Xenopus tropicalis: one gene and its partner. The protein of the gene in region 1 interacts with the protein of each later gene in a biochemical or structural test. Links are inferred from orthologs where the notes say so. Each region holds a gene or a part of one and is shown in the gene's direction. Other genes may lie near its edges.

Evidence for each region.
Region 2: the proteins of cdc27 (region 1) and securin form a complex in vitro, tested with the Homo sapiens proteins (3 studies listed by BioGRID). The link is inferred for Xenopus tropicalis from reciprocal best matches to the Homo sapiens genes CDC27 and PTTG1.

The regions. Positions count from the first base shown.
Region 1 is NC_030686.2:17,336,754-17,340,514, reverse strand, and holds the start of cdc27 (cell division cycle protein 27 homolog), read left to right. Parts: upstream 1-1,031; 5' UTR 1,032-1,159; coding exon 1,160-1,186; intron 1,187-3,761. UniProt on the Homo sapiens protein: Component of the anaphase promoting complex/cyclosome (APC/C), a cell cycle-regulated E3 ubiquitin ligase that controls progression through mitosis and the G1 phase of the cell cycle.
Region 2 is NC_030680.2:46,734,258-46,737,918, reverse strand, and holds part of securin, read left to right. Parts: intron 1-923; coding exon 924-1,082; intron 1,083-3,661. UniProt on the Homo sapiens protein: Regulatory protein, which plays a central role in chromosome stability, in the p53/TP53 pathway, and DNA repair. Probably acts by blocking the action of key proteins.

The DNA.
Region 1 (3,761 bases):
AGTGAGGGAATACAGGGGTAGGGGAGATAGCTCTCAGTACAAGTGAGGGAATACAGGGTTATGGGAGATAGCTCTCAGTACAAGTTGATCCAGGGACTGGTCCGATTGCCATCTTGGAGTCAGTAAGGAATTTTTTCACCTCTGCGGCAAATTAGAGAGGCTTCAGATGTTTTTTTTTGCCTTCCTCTGGATCAACTAGAAGTTAGGCAGGTTATATATAGGCATTATGGTTGAACGTGATGGACGTATGTCTTTTTTCAACCTAACTTACTATGTTACTATGTAATGAAGACCAACTGCAAAGTTGCTATGAACAGGACATTCTATAACATATTAAAATGTAACTTAATGGTGAACCAGCCCATTCACTAGGGCTCTTGCACACAAGGGGTTTGTCATGCGTTCCACTGTGGTGGCTCTTTCGTGGTGTTCGACCACAAGGGAATGCATGAGTCTATGTTTTACTGTATGCTTGTTTTGCGCTGCTTGGAACCACCAAACGCAGGTGGAACTCATACAGAAATGCTTGTAAAAGCCCTTAAAACCCACCCATGCTTGGCAGTATTAGACAGAAGTGTTATGATTAGGTGTTTCAGCTAATACTTGTTCCTACTGCTTGCCGGGCAGGCACCATACCAAGAATAAAAAACAGCTATAATGACTGCCTCGGTATGAGAACATTGCCCACTGTACTCCTACCCATGCTGTGTTACTCCCTGCAAGCTTAACACTGTACAGACAAACGCTACAAAGCAAATGCAAAAGTGATTTTCTAACATAACTAGAGATTTATCACAAACAATAAAATTTTTATTCATTTAACCCCCGGGAAAAACAATCAGCAGGATGAGCTCTCCTTTCTTACCGCCAGATGGCGCCTGCTCCGACTCAATGAATTGAGAGTTTTGAATTCGTCTTTCTTCGGAAAGGTTCGGCTGGTTCCTTCGATTCTACTGTGGATTCGTAGGGGCTCGGCATTCTCCGCAAACGTTCGGCGGTTTACGCTTCTATTCGGCAATCTCCGGCGGCCTCCCCGGTAACGGTCGCTGTGAGTTTAAATGAGCCGGAGCCGCCTGTCTGACGTCTTGAGAGTAGCTGGGGAGAGCGGTCCCGACAGCGGGAGAGAGACCTAGACGGGAGGCCGCAGTAAGGCCGGAGGATGACAGTACTGCAGGAACCCGTCCAGGTATGCGCGCACCCGGCACGTCTGACTGCTCAACACTGAGGCCTAAGGCCTAGAAGGGGGAGGGAATGGAATTCTAGACAGATGAAGGGATAGCCGGGCATTTAGGTGGCATGGGCAGGGGTAATAGAGGTAGGCAAGGGCCCCGGGATGAGGGTTGTAGATATAATGGGCGGTGCAGAAAAACTGCATTGAGGAAATCTGACTGGCAGAATGTTGTGGCACATAATAAGGGGCAAATGCATAAAGAAACAGTAGGCATAGAGGGAGACATGACTAGGTTGCCATAAATAGACCAATAGTATGACATGGGCAAACACTGGCACACATGGGGACAAACACTGGCACAGCCTAAAATGGTGACATGTAAAAAGGGAACACTGGCCTAAATGGGTTCGAAAAGGAGACATTGGGAAGAGGCACATTGCCATAAATGGGGAGACACAGGAGACCTGGGCAAGGTATATTATGATGAGAGGAAAAAGGGCATACTAGTATAAGCTACGCAGTGGCATGAATGGGAAGAGGCACACTGGCATAAATGGGGAGACCTGGGCAAGGTATATTATGATGAGAGGAAAAAGGGCATACTAGTATAAGCTATACAGTGGCATGAATGGGAAGAGGCACACTGGCATAAATGGGGAGACCTGGGCAAGGTATATTATGATGAGAGGAAAAAGGGCATACTAGTATAAGCTATACAGTGGCATGAATGGGAATAGGCACACTGGCATAAATGGGGAGACCTGGGCAAGGTATATTATGATGAGAGGAAAAAGGGCATACTAGTATATGCTACGTAGTGGCATGAATGGGAATAGGCACACTGGCATAAATGGGGAGACCTGGGCAAGGTATATTATGATGAGAGGAAAAAGGGCATACTAGTATATGCTACGTAGTAGCGTGAATGGGAATAGGCTCACTGGCATAAATGGGGAGACCTGGGCAAGGTATATTATGATGAGAGGAAAAAGGGCATACTAGTATAAGCTATGCAGTGGCATGAATGGGAAGAGGCACCCTGGCATAAATGCAAAGTATATAGAAGAGATAGGCAAGGCTTGTTATAACAAGAGAGAACACTGGCATTAAGCATACATTGGGAGATAAGTAGGCCTGGGCACTGCATGTTATAGTAAGAGGGAAAAAAAGAGGCAGACACACAGTGCCATAAATGGGGCAAGAGGAGAGGAGGGGAGAGAATGGTTGCATGGCCAAAGTATGATATGACCAGAGAGAACTCTGTCATGATGCGACACCTCAATGAGGGAAAATTGAAACATTGACAAGCGTCGATAGTTGTATATAGAGCAGGGGTCTCAAACTCGCGGCCCGCGGGCCATTTGCGGCCCTCGGTACAATATTTTGTGGCCCACACCAATGCCTTCGCAAAAGCAATGAATGGATCATGATTTTTATTGCGATTCAAGGGATAATGCAAGGCACGGCGGGCGGGAGCTGCTGATTGCGGAAATGACGTTATGCCATCATAACAGTTATTATGGGAAGACGTTCTGTGTGCACAATTAGCTCCTTAGTTAGCAGCTAATTGTGCACACAGAACGTCTTCCCATAATAACTGTTATGATGGCATAACGTCATTTCCGCAATCAGCAGCTCCCGCCCGCCGTGCCTTGCATTATCCGATAAAAAAGTCCATGAAGGCTTGCATTTTGTGAAATCCCTTATGCGGCCCAGCCTCATCCTGACTTTGCCTCCTGCGGCCCCCAGGTAAATTGAGTTTGAGCCCCCTGATATAGAGAGAGGAATTTTTAGGCAAGGTATAAAATTGTCAGATGGAGAAAGGGGACACGACGAGTGATATGAGGCATGGATTGGCATTAATTGGAGAGAGTGGACACGTGAATAAAAGGCATAGACTGGTTTGGGTGAGGGAAAAGAGACTTTGCACACTAGCATTGAGACATAATTAAGTGGGATACAATGGCATAAATGGGCAGAATGAAGTTATGGAACTTGGCATGCACTAGCCTTTGTAGGAGTAGAAAGCAGGTGTGGGCAAGATACATTCCCTGACAACTTTGGGCAGGCATAAATGTAGGCAAAGCGTAGAATGATACCAAGCAAAAGGAAACCGGCATACATGGTATAGCAAGCAGTAGGAACTGCAAGGGTAGGGATCATGATTGTTTGGGAACTGTAGGGATGGGAGGCAAGAGTTTATGGAAACTACGTCTCTTCTTACATGGGATGAAGGCTTGTGCAAGAGGGTTAGTAGAAAAGCTGGTGTAGTTAGATTTGAGTGATAGAATGACTTTGAGAACATGCCAGCGACTCTTCCTTCTGCCTATGGAATAAAGGACTGGCCAGATCTAGAAGGAGAACCACCAACTGGACCACATGTTACTCTGTTTGCTCATGTTGTTCTGTATGTTGCACTGACTGTGGGACCTGCTAAGGAATTGTAGTTGCCAGAAGGTTTTGATCTTTATGTTGCTGAATAAATGGGTCTAGCTGTCCTAGAGGGGTCTGGTTATTGGCAAAAAGTTGGCAGTGTACAGTATTTCCTGGACCAAGGATTGAGCGAATTATATTTTGGTAGTGAACTATA
Region 2 (3,661 bases), on another chromosome or scaffold:
GCACCCACTCTCCTACCCTCCTCCCTGTGGACGGACGTGTGTCCGTGCATACCTGCCGACTCTGACTCTGGATGTACAGATGTAACGCTCATTGTGCACATGGATGTGCTGACTCTGGCATTCAACGAGCCAGAGTCAGCACATCCATATACTCGAGTATAAGCCGAGGGTTACCTTTTCAGAACATTTTTAGTGCTGAAATAGGAAGTTTTATTAATTGTAATAGTACAGCAGTAATATATTTGGGGACTTGCCAAAACTGCAAAAACAATGTGGGGTGTTCAATGCGAGCCCTGAAAGACAAAGTTAGAGAACACATTGGTCAAATTTGTAATAAGTTATGCATTCAAGAGCAATGTCACTAGACATTGCAGAGTGCAATAATAGCGATAAATTTCGGTACAGGTGATGGAACTGGTAAAAAGGCAGGAGAGGAGGAGATACCCTTACCCTTCTCCATAAGCGAAGTATATTGGATCTTTTATTTAACACACATGGTTTGAATTTTACTTTTGATGTTACTTGCTTTTTGTGAAAAAATATTATTCTGAAACATATGTATTTTTACTATATAGCCCTGTGATATGTATTTTCTAATCCTGTGTGTGTAAATGCGTTATCCCTTGCATAACTGACTTATTATGTGGTTCACTGTGTAGATATGCATTTGGCTTCCATAAGGGAAGTAAAATGGTGACCAATATTGCAGTACACTAAATGCATTTGTTTATAAATGGCATTCCTTGTAAAGCAAGTGCTGCAGCATGTACTCATGCACGGAGTTGAACAGGAAACGAAAATGCTAGCTAAGGATGAGGACTTCAAGGCATCAACCACTTCTTTCCAAAATCAGATCTGCAGAGATGACTTTCTCTAAATATGTAGTGCTTTGCAAATAACTTTTGGATATTGTTTCCTTGCAGACTTTGAGAGTTTTGATATTCCAGAAGACCATAAACTCAGTCACTTTTGCTTAGCAGGTGTGTCACTCCTGGTTCAGGATAATGAAGTTGTAAGGTTTGATGCCTTAACAAATATTCAGCTGTGTCCATTAGAGATGCCATTATTTAACACGGATTCAGGTCAGTTTATAGCGAGGTCTTTGGCATTTTGTGATCTATGCTTGATCAGACTTCTGAAACTAGTCGGTGAAAGGGGAAATGGCTCTTTGAAGTTCATAAACATTGTTTAATCTTTTCTAACATTCAATATTCTGGAATGGTTATGTGGAAGCTGGGTCCATTAGTCATTGTCCCACTGGTCTTCACTTTAACGGTTCGGTGCTGGGTGTATTAATCAGGAGTAAAGAGTATACAGTAGGTGTAAAGAGAAACTAATGGCTAATCATCCGAATCAATTGTTTGATGTCTTAGAACCCAACCCCCCACAATAACATACCTTAGACTCTGCATTCAGTCTGATCTGGTTTCTAAATTATAAATCTCCAGCCTCTCCTTTCATCTACTTCCTGGTACAGTGCAAGGCCTGCCCCCTCCTGCTGAGTGCTCATCTCTTTGACTACATAATAGTTAAGACTACATAATACTTAATAGAAAGCCTTCTGGGCATGCCTGACTGAGAAGAAGCTTTGCACACTTGCTCCTGCTCCACTGTGCAGCAGTGTGTCTTTTTTTTTTTTTTTTTGTTCTGTTTTCACTGATGTCTGACACTGAATACACATAAATGCGAAAGTGCTTCACAAATGGTCTGTGTAACCAAATCACAATTCATATTTGTTGAAAACCTCATAGCAGCATTCTGTTAAGATACCTATAAATTGTTCTAAAAATGTGCAATTTGACAGTGTAGTGAGTTCAACACCACAGTTGAATCAATTAAAGGTGCAAGCAATCGAAAACAATAAAAGGAATCTTAATTAATGTGATTTAATCCCATTCTAAAACATTGATTTTACCACTATCAGCAAATATTAAAAGCTTGTGATTATATATTTCAATAGTACTATAGTGCAGAACTTAGTGTTTAAAAGAATCCAAAGTCAACTTATGCTGCAAGTTTTCAACAATCTGTGCTCGTGCATAATTTTTTTAGAACTGGATTAAATCACTGTTAATGGATTGTGCTTGCACTTGCATCTTTGATTCAACTGTGGTGGGTAACTATAAAGGTCCCCATACACGAGCCGACTATAGCTGCCGATATCGGTCCCTTGGACCGATTTCGGCAGCTAATCGGCCCATGTATGGGCACAACAGAGCTGCCTGGCCGACTGATATCTGGCCTGAAATTGGCCAGATCTCGATCGGCCAGGTTAGAAAATCCGGTTGGATCGGGGACCGCATCGGCTCGTTGATGCGGTCCCCGAACCGACTGCCCCATAAGCTCAAATGTAATCCGATCGTTTGGCCCCAGGGCCAAATGATCGGATTTTTTTTTTTTAAGTCCCTTGCTACCCAATATCACCCACCCGTAGGTGGGGATATCGGGTGAAGATCCGCTCGCTTGGCGACATCGCCAAGCGAGCAGGTCTTATAGTGTATGGGCACCTTTACTCACTGAACGGTCATATTGCAATTTTTTTTGTACATTTTAGAACAATTTAGGTATCTTCAAACGGGGAATGCTGGTATGAGACTTTCAACAGATATGAATTGTGATTTATATAGGGATGCACCGAATCCAGGGTTCAGGATTTGGCCAAGATTCAGTTTTTTTGTTTTTTGCAGGATTCGGATTCAGCCGAATCCATGCTCCTGGCCGAACCGAATCCGTTTATGTGACAAAGTTGAGTGGTTTTGAAAATGTAACCCTTCCATAACCTAATAGCATATGCTAATTAGGATTCTGTTTGGTATTTGATCGACTCCTTTACAAGGGATTCTGGGTTTGGCCAAATCCAAAAAAGTGTATTTGGTGCATCCCTGGATTTAGGTACATTGGCTTTCAGCTTGTGAAGCACTTTCATAAGTACATGTTTTGTTTGTTTTCAGTGAGTTATGCAGTCAAGGTGCTGGAGATTTGAACTAAGGGATTTTATTCTGCGGGTTTTTTTAAAGAGGGAAAAAAATGTACTATAACAAACCCCTTAATAGCTGATCAGCTATTATCCTGGCTTCTGCTTTAAACCCAGTGGGTGAGCTTTAGCCTGTAGGACAAGCCCATGTAAATGGGACTTTTCTAGGAGCCTTAAGGAATTTCTTCCCAGAATTCTGTTATGACTTAAAGGAACAGTAACACCAAAATTTATTGTTTCAAATATCCCTTCTAGACACTTTATTTAACACATACCATATAGAAACTGCAATATTATAACTAGGCATAGAATAAATAACATTACCAGTGATGCATAGGACATAGTGAAAACGGCAATACGGCGGCTGCTTGACTTCCGCTTTAAACCAGAAGTTAATTTCCCCGCTTCGCTTTCAGAATCTGTCTTGCCAGTGATTAATGGCTTTATTTTCTTGCTGGATCAGGGAGAGGGAAGGGTGACGGAGGACTTATCTCCTGCTGTGTTTTGTAGCCTGTGTGATCTGAGCACTCTGGCTGAGCTTGCACAGGGAGGGGGAGGAGGGGGGAGCTGCCCAGAAAGACATCAGTTGGAAGAGACCTGCTGCCTGAGTCTGGTAATGCTATTTATTTTAAATCTGTTTATTCCTATTTCTATAATATAGATATGTTTTTATTAATGTATAGAAGT